Neurospora crassa OR74A: one gene and its partner. The protein of the gene in region 1 interacts with the protein of each later gene in a biochemical or structural test. Links are inferred from orthologs where the notes say so. Each region holds a gene or a part of one and is shown on either strand. Other genes may lie near its edges.

Evidence for each region.
Region 2: the proteins of tom70 (region 1) and NCU03732 form a complex in vitro, tested with the Saccharomyces cerevisiae proteins (2 studies listed by BioGRID). The link is inferred for Neurospora crassa OR74A from reciprocal best matches to the Saccharomyces cerevisiae genes TOM70 and SIS1.

What each region holds. Positions count from the first base shown.
Region 1 is NC_026505.1:5,338,684-5,346,551, forward strand, and holds tom70 (outer mitochondrial membrane translocase), read right to left. Parts: upstream 4,499-7,868; 5' UTR 3,980-4,498; coding exon 3,788-3,979; intron 3,670-3,787; coding exon 2,700-3,669; intron 2,647-2,699; coding exon 2,173-2,646; intron 2,110-2,172; coding exon 1,871-2,109; 3' UTR 1,265-1,870; downstream 1-1,264. Other genes in the region: NCU04246 (hypothetical protein), read left to right, coding at 5,547-6,265, 6,335-6,446; ro-4 (centractin), read left to right, coding at 7,724-7,868. UniProt on the Saccharomyces cerevisiae protein: Component of the TOM (translocase of outer membrane) receptor complex responsible for the recognition and translocation of cytosolically synthesized mitochondrial preproteins.
Region 2 is NC_026505.1:2,236,620-2,244,543, forward strand, and holds NCU03732 (SIS1), read right to left. Parts: upstream 4,823-7,924; 5' UTR 4,388-4,822; coding exon 4,308-4,387; intron 4,145-4,307; coding exon 3,403-4,144; intron 3,328-3,402; coding exon 3,034-3,327; 3' UTR 2,275-3,033; downstream 1-2,274. Other genes in the region: NCU03731 (HAD superfamily hydrolase), read right to left, coding at 1-469, 538-546; NCU03733 (hypothetical protein), read right to left, coding at 5,809-6,393, 6,456-6,884. UniProt on the Saccharomyces cerevisiae protein: Required for nuclear migration during mitosis. It is required for the normal initiation of translation. Might mediate the dissociation of a specific protein complex of the translation machinery. Essential for viability.

The sequences.
Region 1 (7,868 bases):
TTGGTTTTGTGGTGCAAAACTTGTTTACATTAGTAATTACTCTTTTTTTAACTCCGGATGGGTCGTTTTCATTTCGGTTTGCAGTTTCGACGTTGTGTATGACTGGAGCGAAAGAAAAACAATAGAACCCGATATAAACGCAACGACCCACACTCGCTCCTGTTGAAACCGAAACAGAGAGTTCCACGGCTCAGCTCTACGTAGTGAGTGAGCTTATATGATCTCAAGTAAAGCTTAAATGGACTACTGACTGTTGGTTGTATACTAACCTGACTCTTGTACCACTGACTCTTCACTCACAGTTCATCTGTTTACTTAGTCACTTCTTCACTTCAATCACACTCTCCCCATCTCCTTAAAACCTTCTCACAACCACTCTTTCCAGATTTCACTTTTTTTTCTCCAATTTTCCTAAAGCTCTCTCGAAGTTGTTCACCCGGTCACTTCACCTACCACTTCACCCATCACTTTCACTTTCAGTGTCACCCAGCCCCAAAACATCCTAAACCCCGAAAAAAAAAAAAAAAAAAAAAAAAAAAAAAAAAAAAAAAAAAAGTCCTTATACAAATCTCCGAAGAACAGTGAGAAGGAGCTGGTTGTCTACCTAACAACAACAACAACAACAACCTACTAACCATACATATACATATATTATCTAACATGTACCTATGTACCTAACTATCTAGGTAATCCTCTCTCTTTATTGAGAACTCTTTTGCTCCTTCATGAACTGAGTGCTCCACAGGCTGGCTTGCTGCTTGCTGCTCTTGAACAAGTTGCGAGTTGCGAGTTGCGAGGGCTTAAGTGAGATATATGGTAGGTAGGTGGTAAAAAGAAAAGTGATCTACGTACGTACGTACGTATTGGAAAAGAAAGGGTCAGCGAAACGATGGTGGGTGGGTTTGTGCCGGATCTTGATCTTACCTGTGTAGAGGAGGGAGGGCATGTATCGTCAGTAAAGTAAGTGGCTGGGATTTCGAAGAATAGCAGGTAGTTGGAGAGTGGGAAAGACCTAAAGAAAAAAGAGAGAAAAAAAAAAAAGAAGAGACGCCGGGAATCGGTGGTTGGGCTTGTTTCTAAGGGTTTTTTTTTTTCTTTAAAAATTTTCTCTTTTTATTTTGGGGGTGGGGGGGTGTTGAGATTGGCTGTTTCTGGGGTTGCTTAGAATTTGAGTCTAACTTTTAATATGAAAGGTGACTCGGAGGAGGCCCCGAGAAATCACCCCGTACGGATGTCCCACGTTGGTTTTTATCGATACCCATGTTTCATTTTCATCTTCATCTTCATTCTCGTTTGTTTTGTGTTGTTCAGCGTATTTAAGCTCGTTTACTACAACTCCAAGGTGAGTATATACAACATACTAATTCGTCATATAATTACGAACATACCGAACTCCCCATCTGTAGAGTTGGCCCATAAAAGCAGATAGAGAGAAGAGCATTGAAATCAACTCCATATTCAACCAAAATCAAATGCCAATTTGACCCCCGAAGCGTAACATGACATAACATGATGTATGATGATAATGGATTGATGGTGATGATGATGACGATGATCGTGATGTGTAGTGATGAGGTCGTGTGGAATCGAGAGACAGAGAGAGAGGGAGAAGAGAGAGAAGTATTAAAAAAAAAGCATTACATCCTATCCCATCCAGGCCAACCTATGTAAAACACCATCCATCCATTCCCGCGTCTCCTTACCGCCAACAGACATCCTCAATCTCCTTACACCGTTACAGCAGTAGCAACAACCAAAAATGAACCCTTTTTAATGTACAACACACTGCTTTTCTACTTCGTTTCAAAACTTCATCGCTTTCTTTATTTCTCTTCCTTTTTTATGCTGCTAGAGTAATCTTGACATGCTTTTACCGCATGCCGGGACCACCGCTCATGCCCTGGAGCTTGCTGGCCAGCTCGGGGTAGTTCTCCTGTACCTGGATCTGTGTCCTCGTGGCCTCGGCGTAGGAAAGGGCGTTAACAAGTTCGCCTTCGGTGCGGGCGAGCTCGGCGGCACGCTCAAAGAACTTGAGGGCCTCGACGACCTTGCCCTGCTGGAGGAGGAGCTGGGCCATGGTGGCGACGGCAATGTCGCACTCGGGGTCGACTGGAATCATTCATGTTAGCACACAAGATATGATAATTTGGTTTGAAATGGGGGCTATCTTACTGATGAGGGCCTTCTCGCAGAGCTGCTCAGCTTCGGCATAATCCTGCTTCCACTGGAAGAGGGCAAGAGCCTTGTTAATGAGGGGGAGAACGTTCATGCACATGGGCTTGGTCTCCTTCTCGAGGGCGATCGCGGTATCGAACTTCTCAATGGCTTCCTGGAATTTGTTCTGGTCGAGAAGAAGCTCGCCATAGTAGTTGTAGACATCGGGGGTCTGGTCGAAGTTCTTCATGCAGCGGCGGAAGGTGGCCATGGAAGAGGCAATGGAGCCCATCTTGTACTGGGTGACACCAAGCTGGATGTGGGAGAAGATGAAGTCGGAGTCGAGATCGATGGACTTCTGGTAATCCTTAGCAGCCTCGGCGAACTCCCCCTTGATGAAGTGGAGCTGGGCGCGGTGGTAGTAGATATCAGGGTCCTCGGCGTTCTGCTCAATGGCCTTGTTGAAGTCCTCCTCGGCCTTGTCGGGGTGACCTATAAAAGGGGTTAGCACAGGTCCAAGTTAACAGTTGAAGACAAAGACTTACCGAGCTCAAGGTTCATGCTAGCACGCTTGATGTAGCTCTGGGTCATGGCAGGGTCGAGCTCGATGGACTTGCTGAGATCGGCGAGAGCCTCCTCGTGCTTGCCCATGAGGCAGTGGAAGGTACCACGGAGGTTGTAGGCAAGAGCCTCATGAGGACCGAGCTCGCCGAGGTCGAGGGCCTTCTTGAAGGCGGCGGAGCCCTCCTCATAACCAGTACCAGTCTTGCTCTCCAAGTGCTTCAAGCCAAGCTGCAGCTGACCAAGACCGGTCTCCTCGGAGAGCTCAACAGAGTCCTCGAGACCCTCGGGGCGGGGCTTGGAGCGGAAGCTCTGGAGGTAGTTGCCAACAAAGGTGGAGCTGGGGAGCTTGGGAGGCTTTGTCTCGAGGATTTCCTTGGCCTTGTTCTCGGCGAACTTCTTGAGGAGGCGCTCGACGGCCTGGGCGCTCTGCTCGTTGCGGAAGCCGTCGATGATGCAGCTGGCAGTGAAGTCGAGGAGAGCGTCGCTGTAGCGGCTAAGCTGGTCGTAGGCATTGGCACGGCGGTTCAGGGCCTTGACGTAGTGGGGGTCGAGCTTGAGAGCGGCGGTGGTATCGGCGACAACCTGCTCCCACTGGGCGAGGGCATTGTGGCAAGCGGCGCGGTTGGAGTAGTAGACGGGGTCGGGCTTGCAGATGATGGCCTTGGAGTAAAGGTCGATGGCCTTGTTGAAGTCCTTGGAACCGTAGGCCTTGTTTCCGAGCTCCTTCAGCTTGGCGGCGTACGCCTTGCGCTCGTCCTCGGATAGCCTGACGACGGATTCCTCATCGATCTCGGGCAGCTCGTCGGCGCTCTCGACGGCGGCGGCCTTGGGTTGTGTGGGAGCGGCCTCTTCTGTCTTGGAAGTAGAAGCCTTCTCGGCCTCCCCCTTCTCGGCCTGCTTCCGTTTCCTCCTTTCCTTCTTGCTGAGCTTGGGGCCGGACTCCTTCTGCTCCTGGGGGGAGTGGGCGCAAACGTTAGTAAACGAGAAGACCTCATGCAGCTGGGCAGGGCGCAGGGCAGCAGCGAGACGCGGGACGCGGGAAGATGCGCGGGAGAAGGATGCAACGTACTGATCCCTTGCGGAGATAGTAGACAACACCGGCGGTGGTGATGACGACGGAAACACCAGCAATGGTGTAGACAACAGCCTTGTGCTCCGAGACCCAGTTGGAGACGCGGTCCCAGATGGACGAGTCGGCCGGGACAGTGACGGGCGTGGCCGCCGGGATGGGGACGGAGGGCGGCGGGATGGTGGGAGCCATGGTTATTATGTGGTGATGGGTGTAGGAGAACCTCTAGTAGATAAGGTAAACAATCAGGGTATATACTAGATCGGAGTCGGCAGAGAGACGACCGAATGGCAAGGCTAGGTAATCGAGGAGACGAAGGGACGGCGGCGGCGGCGGCAAGTTCAGAGACAGATTCCGGCAACTGCTTCAATTGCAGTAAGTAACAAGCCAAGTGAAGTTCCTCTATTTTTTTGAGTGGATGATGCGGGTTCGTTCGCAAGGGTCGGACCCGGACTTGGATAGCGCGGCGGGCGGCGGCCACAGCCCACGGCAACGTAACTGGACTTCAAGGTTGGGCCCGGGGTACTCCTTCACTCCTCTACAGGTTTTCCCTCTTGGCACACGGCAGCGCAGTCCACAATAAGTCCACAGGTACGCGCACAGTCACTGAAAAAGGTAGTAGCAAATGGAATCCTCAAGCTTGGTAATTGCTCGATGGCGTCGGTGGATGGGCAGACGTATGAATGTCTGTCTGCTGGGGCTCAAGCTCCGAGATCTTCGTCGTGCGAGAAAAAAAAAAAAAAAAAAAAAGTTGTTTTGACGCGGGCGGCAGTGCGGCTGGCGGCTGGGCAACCGGCAAACAAACTACCATACATACCTCTACGGTATTACATATCATGAACTAAGGCCTAATGGGATGTAAATAGACAGTGTTGACCTCCAAAGCTGACGTGGTCTGAGCTCCTTCAAGCTGCTATTGCCAAGCCTTGTCAGGGCAGCTGGTGCCTGAATCCCCTCTGTTTACAGCTCAGCACTGTTGGTTTACACATGGACTACTCGGAGCTGAACATCCATTCCCCTTTCCCTTGGATTTTCGGAACAACGGAGGTCGAAGTTTATAACAAGAATGAAGACTTCTACATTGTCTACTATCACAGACTAGATAAGCCCTGAGAATACTCTATTTCAGATAACTCCAACCACCATTAACCCAAGTTCATCAACGTTCGTAGCTGAGATATCTCTCAACTCAGCCGAGGGGAAATGGAATAAACGCCAAGAATGACCGCACACGGTGGGGTAAGCTTCGCTTATGTACGTCAAGCAAAAGCGGATCAGGGCAGCTTGGGTGGTTCCACTTTAAAGTTGAACGCCCCGCCATTCGACCATCAGGGCAGTGTCATCCCGTCCAGACCTTGTCGCTGCCGTCTTTGATGCAACTGTGACAGAACTTGACTCGTGGACTGCAGTGATTTCAGTTTATACATCCGTCTGTATCTTTTTGTTACATGTTTCATTCCTGCCATCACCGGCGGCTTCTTTTACCAATCATCGGTCATGTCGGCGCGAAGGATTGTTGATTTATCGGGCCCATCAGGTATGAGGAAACCTAAGCTGATAGATTTTATACATTATATTCCCCATGAAACGACCACAGAGAGCAATGAGTCAGCAAGCTGGATTGCATGTCATATAAAACAGATAATACATTACGGATATCGTATTCTTCACCATTCACCTTCACTCTTCGGAGTCTCTAATCCATCGAGTCTATGCTGTTCCTCCATCTAGGTAACCTTCAAAGACAGGCACCCTCACAATGGCGACCACGACAGAAGCTCCCCTCCTCCTCTTCACCACCCTGCGTTACGACCCTCTCCTGCTTCCCGGCTTCGTCTCTCCCACTGAATCCTCCCCGTTCGCTCCATTGTACATGCTTCCTTACCATCGCGATCGCATCCTGCGCGCCGCCACTCACTTCAAATGGCCCGCCGTAGTCTCTCTCCTCTCCGGTGACAGCGGTCTCGAAACGCTCTCCTCCTTCATTTTCTCCTCCCTCTCCGACGAGCAGCGATCTCACCCAAACCGCATCCGTGTAACCGTCTCTGAGAAGGGAGAGCTAGGCATCACCATCTCACCAGCACCACAAGTCCCTTCAACAGCCAACTTCTTCCCAAATTCCCTTCCCCAGCCGGGTACCAATATCCCTAGTCTATGCCTGATGGGAACCTCGACGCCGTTCGAGGTCCTAGTCGACACCCAAAGGTCCAAAAAGTCAGCATACACGCACTTTAAGACTACGAAGCGCCAAATCTACGACGAAGCGAGAAAGAGGCACGGGATCGCGTTGACGGATCGGAAGGAGGTGTTGATTGTTAGCGAGGATGGGGAGGTGATGGAAGGGAGTATTGCCACGCCGTACTTTTGGAGAGACGGGAGATGGGTGACACCGCCGGTTGGGGAAGGTGAGGGAGAGACAGAAGGGGATTGGGGAAGTGGTGGAAATGCGGGAACTACGAGGAGATGGGCTTTGGAAAGGTGCGTTTCTCCTGCTTTGAGATGAGATGATTATTATTGGGCAGTTCTGCTAACGGCGCGCCTGGGTAGGGGAATTGCGGTTGAGCAGGTTGTACGGGCAAACTCGCTGGTTGATGAAGAAGAGTGCTGGTTGAGTAATGGGGGCAGGGGATTCTACTTTGGAAAGGTCAAGTTGGGCTAGGTCCTGAGATGGCAAGCGGATGAGCGTTAAGGGCATGATTCCGTGATGCTTTCATTGCGCCAGGATACCGTTTCTGAAAGTCGCGGTTACCATAAGATATGGCTTGTAATCGTCGTTCGGTGCTACCGAGGCTGAACAGGGGCAATGTTTATTTGCTCCCGTCCCGGGCATCACTAGGGCAACACACCAGGCTGGGCTGTTTCCCATCGTGAGACCTTCGGGGGATTTTGCGGAGCAATGTATCACGGTGCGCAAGCCGAGCCAAGCTAACAACTCATAATCACCTGTTCAGAAGGCCCAACACAGACAAACTGACGAGCCGAGGTTCAACATCATTAAATTCGTCCTTTTTGAGGATGAAGGACCTGCTGAAGTCTCGGAAATGGAACTTGTAAGCGGGAGCACCCCGATGAAGCACAAGTGAAAAGTCAACCGACGGACTAAAGAGAGATAAGATACACCATATCTCAATGCCATAGACATGAGCATTACACTACAACTATCATACTTCTTTTTGCAAAGTGTCCCTTCAACATGTGCTCTTGTAAAGTGAAGCTAGCCCCGCGATATCGCTGAAGTGATCTGCATGGAAGTTGGGCAAGACAAGGGGGAGGGGGAGCTTCAGATCCACTGCTGAGGATGGCTCGTGCACTTCCACCCTCACCGGCGCTGATTGGCTGGATCTAATCAAGCTCTCTGACCGACAGCCCAATTCGAACCGGCACGTCCCTGCAGCAGAAACGCCCTTTTCGAACGAATCGAGGCCAGTCCGTCTGGATGTCGCGTCGTGTGCTACCAGAAAACATCCATCTCTGCGACCGGACGACTGACTGACTTTCTGCGGCTATCCGATCTTGAAGTCTTTCGCAGAGACTCTCAACCTGTTAACCGACAACCGTCAACCGAACCCTGGACCCTTCCCACGTCCCCACCAAACAACCCAGCTGCTGGCAGACAACCTCACACCCACTCGATTTCCGCCTGGCAAATGCCTTCATGACATCCTGATTGTTGACGATACACGATTGCAAACGACCACTACATACAACCCTTTCTGTTTACTTTAGGTCTTTGACCGCACAACGGCCTACCACCGAAGCCCACTCCCGCAGAGACACGAAGACCCTTGTCGAAGCCTAGCCTTCACCCCGCCTCCGCGATTCTACGATAGCATCACCACCCACCGCTGGGACGGTTAGGTGGCAGCGACGGACAGCGGATAGCCTTCAACAACCTTACATGTCCACAATACGACCTACCCTTTACATACAACAACAATGACAGACTCTTTGCACAACGCGCCCATTGTGCTCGACAATGGCTCGGGCACCATTCGCGCCGGCTTCGCGGGAGACGACGTACCAAAATGCCACTTCCCCTCCTTCGTAGGGAGGCCAAAGCACCTACGAGTGCTGGCCGGCG
Region 2 (7,924 bases), about 3.1 Mb from region 1:
TGCTCGTCGGCGGGTTCAGACTCGTGGCCGCGCTGAACACACGGTCGCCAAAGTACTTGTCCTGGCCAACCTTTTCAATGCTGGCCTTGACGCGGCGCAGCGCCGAGCTGCTCACGACCGCAAGCTCGTATTTGCCCTCAGCCGCCAGTCGCTCGAGCACGCCGTCGACATTAGGGCAGGGCGAGAGCTTTTCCTGGATCTTGGCAATCACCACGTCCTCCTCCTTCTTCACGTACATCTCCATTTCCTCATCGGTGAGCGGGAAGCCGTACCGCTCCTGCAGCGAGCGCAGCATGCCCCGGAAGTTCTGGCCAACAAACTCAACGATGAGCGATTCGCCCGTGAAAGGCTTTTCGAGCGGGATGTTTTTGGTGGCGGCGATCTGGTTAATCAGGTCGGCGCAGCCTTCGAAGGCAACCTCCTCCGAGAGGACGAGGGTGTTGTCGCAGTCAAAGAGGAGGGTGGTGATCTGCGTAACGGACTAATTGTTAGAGATCATTCATACAAACCTATTTGGTCTGGGGGGATGTCTCTTACCTTGCCCATTTTGACTGATTGGTAGTTGAGCGTTTGAGTTGGGTACTGAAGGTGTCTTTAGATGATAACGTCGCTAGCGTTCTTCGGCCGTGATCTCCAAGAGTTCCCGGTTAAGATAAGTAGCCGAAAGGATGATCGTGATGAGCAAATGGGTATCTCGTAAACACGAAGCAATTTAAGCTATGAGCAAAAGTCGTGTGGAGCAAGAGCGAAAGCACGTCTGCTAAGAGGCGAGGATAGAGAGCGAGGGTGAGTGCGGTAGGTTAGAGGTGGAAATAATAGCCGTTTTGTAGGGAGGAAGAGAAGATAAGAGGATGAAGGAGTAAATAAGAGGAAGGAAAGAGCGGGAGAAAGAAGCTTGAAGTACCTACGTAAGGTAAGCGAGAAAAGAGCTACCTCTCTCTACTTACTGAATCCCTAACATGTGGATATTACCTACTTCCCGGTCTCTTTTCCTAACCCACTACACATACCAAAGTCCAAGGCACAGAACAATAACAAAAAGAAGGACCCCTGGGACCAATGGACAGGACAGGACAGGACGGACTCGTGCATCGCCGGTCTTGACCACGGTTACGAGGTCCGTTCCTGAAACCCCACCTCACCACATCACACATCACTGCCGCGCTCGGCGCTCGGGGACCACACTGACAAACCACCAGAACTGCTGAACCTTCGAGACGGGATTCGATCGATCTTCTCCATCACTTTCTGAATGTTGCTCTGACCCCTCACATCACCCTGAGCACCTAGCACCCCCTCTCGTACACCTTTCTTTTCCTGAGGAAACGTGCAGACGGATGCCTTCTCCAGACAGGATGTTGATCGGCGTCAGAGTACACTAGTGGTAGTGGGGCACCCGGTGATGTCATTGGACAGAAGCCCCACCGTGACATAGAGCGGGGCCCGGGAAGTACGCTAAAGGAACTCTAACTTGTTAACAGTAGCACTAAGTGATTGTGAGAGTGATAGCTAGTTATCTAACTATCATCATCAATGAGACCAAGAACATCGTGCAGCCAAGGACAGGCCTCGGTCGAACCATCTTCGCGAAGAACAACACAGCAACAAAACCGAAAACAGGTGAAAGCGCTCGATTCAAAAATCCGAATCCAGAACCTCACAGAAACCTTGGACCCGGACCCTGCAAATCTTTTGTCCAATAACAAAAATATCTAACCGTAGAGATGCTTCCATGACCCCCCATTGAGATCAGCACCAAAATGATGATCAAGTCAGCAGTAGAACAGCCATCCGAGTCCCAAAAAGAAAAAAAAGAAAAACAAATGAAACAGAAAGCAGTATAGGTAAGCGACAACGCGGGAAAGGTAAGACCGAGTGGTCACTTCCGCTTCCGCTCATTCTCCCATTATGCCGCGTTTCCCGATCGACCAGCCAGCCGGTTATATGTAATCCTTGGCTTGGCGGGGTGTTGGAATGGCTGTTGGGTAGGTAGACGGGCCGACCTAACAATGTCGTTGTCCCTCTTGTTTGTACTTTCAAAAATCCCGTGATGAGAGCCAAGATGAAGTGAAAAGTGGACAAGTTGAATCATCGTTCTTCGCAGTTGGATTCGGCCCCGCCGTGGCTTCCCCCCCTAAGATACGTACACGACTGTGTGTTTATTTGGCCAACTTGTTGTAGCTGGAACTTGCACATATTCCCACATGTCGCTCCGCGTCGTCTTTCAGCAAGTTATGGTTTCTCTCCAAGGTCAAGTCGAGAAAGGGAGAGATTTTCTGGGCACATTGATTTTCATTCTGTAGTAACTATGTCCATCTATCGGTTCTAGCCACCCCGCTTGGTAGTCTATGGTCACGATCAATTTTCTCCTCGTGTGTGTCGTTTGGTGGTGGTGACCGAGGATTGTCACCTTGAATCCATTCCGAGATGCAGTAGTCCAAGCCGTCTTCTATAAAAGATATAGCCATTTGATATCTAAGCCTGCTATGGTATTCCCATTGACGTTGGCCTCGCGTGTCTCTGGCTATTGTTGAACCTTGAGAGGACGCAACATGCTAAGAGAGACCAGCGCCCTTTCCTCTCCCAACATTCACAACAGGGGGCCTAAGAACTTTTGTCGGGGATACTCATTATCATGAAAATTGTCATCATCAGCTCCCACCACACATGCCGCCTAAACCAACAATACCAATCTCAATGCGAGCCTGACGCGATGAAAGCTGAGCACCAAAAGAAGAAACAAATCCAGTAACGCCCAAATATGGTGGACCATGGTCAAGAACCGCACATGGCGGACAGAGACCAAAGCAAATGCCCCCCGGGTAAAAAACAAATCCAACACGCCCACCATTCTACATACACTCAAGGGGGTGGATCCGAACAGGTTCCCGAATGTTGTCAAAGGCCGGCGTTAAAAGCTGTTCTTCAGGCCAATCCAAGACTGCTGGTCCCTTCCTGTTGAGGCGACAAGAAGGACAAAGGTATCCGAGAGTGAACTACCACAGAGAACCGATACTCATCGCTTGACCCCATTTAGAGGATTTCCTTCAGTTTTTCCTTTTGTTCAGGCGTCAAGCTGGTGGGGAACTTGACATTATACTTGACGATGAGGTTGCCCCGTTGGCCTGGTTGCTTCGAGATGGGCATGCCCAGGCCCGGATATACATCTTGGCTCCCAGGTTGTGTCGGGCCGGCCTTCTCAATGTTAATGCTCTTGCCGTCGATCGTCGTGATGGTTCTCTTCCACCCTGTCAATGCCTCCTTGAGGTCTAAGTCGATAGTATGAATTAGGTCGTTGCCGTCCCGAGTGAAAAGCGGATGTGGTTTCTAAAACCACATTGTCAGCTGGCCATTCCTTCAAAAAGGCAATGCGTGAAGAAAGGGAAGGGAGTTTATACGTACCTCTTCGACGACGAACACCAAATCCTGCTGGCCACCCTCTTCTTGATCACCAACACCCTTGAACCGGATTTTGCTACCCTTCTTGAGGCCGGGCTTGATTGGTACCTCCAAGACGGTATCGCTCGTCGTGCGCTTACCGGTCTCGTCAAAGGTCTTGCGCTTGATCTTCATTTTCTTCGTCGTGCCGTGGAACAGATCCTCAAGGGATACGGGTAAGGGGCGTTCAACTGTCGTGACTTCGGGTGTTGCTTGGCGGGCGCTGCGCATGTTGTCGGCGCCGCCGAAGGGGTTTCTCGCAGTTCGGCGCTGTCCTGCACCACCACGCGCAGCATTAAAGAGGATGTCTTCAAAACCCATTCCGCCCATGCCACCACCCATGCCACCACCCATGCCGCCGCCCATCTTTTCATCCCGGAAAGCATCCCGGAAGAGGTCCTCGGGGTTGGTAAAATTGAATCCATAGGAAAATGTTCTCGCACCTCCTCCGCCACCAGGCATGCCTCCTCCTCCAAAGAAAGAAGCAAAGCCCTCGGGCATGCCACCAGCTCCGGCAAATGGGTTTGCGCCGCCCTCAGTCGGGGGCGGGCCGCCTCTCAGGATAAATTCAAGGCCGAACTGATCGTACATCTTGCGTTTCTCGGGATCCGAAAGGATTTCATACGCCTGAGAGCACTCCTTGAATTTTTCGGCAGCCTCCGGGTTGTCCTTGTTCTTGTCGGGGTGCCATTTTAGGGCGGCTTTCCTGGTGAGGGGTCAGCAGGGGTCCACTGAAGGCTGTAAGAGAGGATGATGTGAATGCCAAAGTGAAAGAAGGATGGCGTAGGAAAGAGGAGATCTCTCCCTCGATCTTATACTGCGAGATGCGAGAGCAGTTATGTGGGGTTTCGGGTTGGAGATATGCTCACCTGTAGGCTTTCTTGATCTCGTCCTGGGTAGCCGTAGGGCTGATCCCTAGCAGGTCGTAGAGCTTCGTTTCCTTGACCATCTTTGTGACGCAATATTAGAGACGAGTGTAGTGTATGTGAGTCTAGTAAAAATGTAGAGGCTGTTTCGCGAAGCTTGATCAGAGCCGCGAAGTGTCTCGGCGGTCGTTAGGTGCAAGGGAGAACAATTAACCCGACGTGTTCTGTGTTGTTGTAGTGGTACGGGTAGGGTAATTAAGGTAGAGTGAGGTAGCGATGACAGATGCGTATTAGACGTTAGCGATTCTATAGCGCTCGTGGGTCCTTTGGATGGCTCGTAAAGCGCCTGTCAAAGTCGATCTTGATGGAATGCGCGAGAGCAAATTCGCAATGCAAGAGTAGGGATTTCAGATATTGAACAGAATTGAGATGCAACACAGAGTCGGAGAGGAAGCTATCACTTGGTGGAAGAGGGAGGGACAAGGCCATAAAATGCCTTGGCGAAGGGCGTGTGTAGCAGGAACAGGAGGTTGTAGAACCTTCGACCGTGAGCCTATCGGCTTCCAAGACCTGGAGATAGTGACGCAGGGCTCGCGTAGTGGGTACATGCTAAAAGTAGCGCCTGTTAGTAATCTTCATGTCCCCGAGCAGTTTGCTGCTGCAGGGAAAGAGTAATACTAACAATGTAAGTCCAGGCCAAGTCCCCACTAACTGATGCGGGCCGCCAAGCCAGCTAGCAGGAAGGGAAGCTCCATTAAGTAGTTGACCTTCGCTTGACCTCAGCGAAACTGTGCTAGCAGTCTGCTGAGCGGTTGGGACGCGTCCGGAGCACCTATCAAAGATGAACATCATCACCCAGCACCTTCGATGGGCTGCACATCACCAGATATTTGAAAGTTAGATCCAGCTCAGTTCGTCATACCAGTATACCCATTCGCCCGCAATCCCATTCTTCTGGTACTCACTCGCATCGATGAAACAGGATGGATTGCCGTAAATCATGATCGCGATTCCAATCAATCATCCTTACATTGTGCCTTATTACAAGGCAACGAAGAAGGTTGCACAACCTCATGGAAGCCAACAGCAAGCAACGGCCGCACTCGATCTTTTAATGACAGCCCCATGATAAGGAAAATCCGCGACAACTCCACACAAATGAGGCCTGGATAGCTCACCATAGAACTTGTAGTCAGGAGCAGATCAAAGTCAAAGCATGTCTTCAAGAACTTCTCCATATGAAGGATTAAACTAGTTCGTCAAATATGTGTCATCAACCACCAAGGAGAAGCAAAGCGGGACTCTATTTCTCGAATCACGACGGTACAGAGCAGATCTAGAACAAGTTAGACCTGAGGCCTACTGTCATGACTTTCCAAATAAGCCCGGTTGACCTGCTCTGATGACCCCTGACGAAGGCAAAAAAAAAAAAAAAAAAAAGGTGCAAAAACACGCCAAAACAAACACCGAGAAGAATAATCCACGTTGCTCGGTATGTCCTAACTCAAACCGCTTCGTACACATAGAGAGTCGAATTCCTTTCATCGGGCAGGAAGAACAGCCTCATCTTACCGTCCACGACAGCCACATCCATTGGATTCTTGGTCATTGCAGCACCATGTTCCGACACCAAGGTCACAGGAACCTCGTGTAAAGGAACCATAGTTTCCATGTCCACTATCGCGATACCGCCGATTCTCGTGTTCGCCAAGTCTGCAACGCCAGAGCATAACATCACTGGCCGGGTCTCGTAAAGCTCGTAACGACCCAGGAATTTGCAATCCTGATAGTCAATGAAGCTGCTCGGATTCCTGACCACTGCCCGCGGCTGAGTGAACTTGGCGGGCGCCAGATGCTTGTCGTGCCCGTTCCAGATCGACGCTTTGCGCGACCCCCAGTTCAAGGTGACTACAGTTCCGGACTTTGTGTCGTGGACCGCTCCTCCCTGGTGGTCTGCAACGCTCAAGATGGGCTCTGGTACCAGCGTGTCGGGGCGCATCCTCACAAGCGTTCCAGTTGTGTTGGGACGATACTGGGAGAGGGTGGCCCAGATGTAGGTTCCATCGTAGTCAATGCCGCCGTTGTGGTACTACTTGTGCTGTCAGCCGCGGTAAGATTGTTGAGAACGGGCTGCGCAACGGACGGACAGACCTCGAGAGACTTGGCTTGTGAGATTGAGGCATCAGCAATACGCTTCCCTTTGCCATCGAAGATGATCATATGGGCAAACCCTTCGCCAGCTGTGCGATCCGTGCCGTTGATGGTCTCATTGTATTTGACCGTCGGCACAATGTATTCACCAGCCGACACGAAGTAGCGGTCATTGCCGATGCGAACTATTCCTTCGGGCTCATAGGTGTCGCCTTCGAACTGAACCTTATCAACAAGTTTCCATTTCGTTGAACGATCAAGCTCTACAAACTGACGAATAATCTCTTTTGAGTCGGACGCCGCGCCGGGAAGAGGGTGGGGGTGAGGGACGAAGGGTACGTCAGGTTGAAGGATGGTGATGTTGAGACCTCCTGATGGTTGTAGAGGTTTAGAAAAGAGCAAAGAGAGTACGGTAAGCGCTCTCAACATCTTGCCAATTGGGCAGACAGGAGCAGTTTCAATTGTAGTTCTCTTTGCTCAATGTCACTAGTTGTGGAGGTTTACCAGGTGTGCCAAGGTCAGTGGCATTCCCTCCCGTCCCGGAAGATCGAAACAGCCAAGTGCGGAGTATTATTGTATGTGGGGGCACGGCCCGGCGCCGGGAAACGACAACATTCAAACAAGCATTGCCGATCGATCGGCCGGCCGTCTTCTTGTGCACAGATCCCGATACATTCTCCATGGTTCAAACTATGTAGACTCCCCAACGACATATTAGTGTACACGCTCGAAAAGGAACAAGGGTCTGTCGTTGATGAAGCTGGTCTACCTCGAGATACAACAACGCCGATGCGGGGTTGGTCTGTAGACTGATTAGGTATAAAAACTTTCCACGCACCCCTTGACTTTGATTTCCCCTTTTTGTGAAGCCCAAGTCCCAGCGTTAAATGCTGTGGCCTCGAAAAAACCCAGTATTGATCCAGACTAGGTAGTATATGGAACCTACCTATGTACTGACACCACACCTGGGAATGTTCTTTCCCAAATGAGAACTATGCAAGTAAGTGCTCTTCCCGCCTTCCCCTTCCGACCTGTGTCTTTTGTCGGACTGAATAAAGGTCGGACCTGACAGGTTCCGGGTTGTTTTCTCCCTAAGTCACCCAGAAGCAGAATGTGACCTAATCCCCTCTGTCCGTTCAGTCGATTGCTTAATATCTATTGATCTCTACTATATTTCGAGGTCGTAGCCGTTGCTCCTCGCTCGCCAGCATCGAACACATTAGGTTCTCGCCTTCCGTTGCTTGACTGAACCGAGCGTGCTTGCACGTCAGCTGTGGTTGGTAACAGAATCATCCAGTTGGTAAAGCACGCAGGCAGTATGTAGCACTCTTACTATGCCTGGAAGAATCGCTTGACTGACCCCCCGACAGAGGTCGGATCTTCCGGCAGATATGGCAGCTGGTAAGGCCATAGGTTTCTTGATCTGAAGAGCCTTCTCATTTTACTCCTCTCCGGAAGAAGCTTGATAA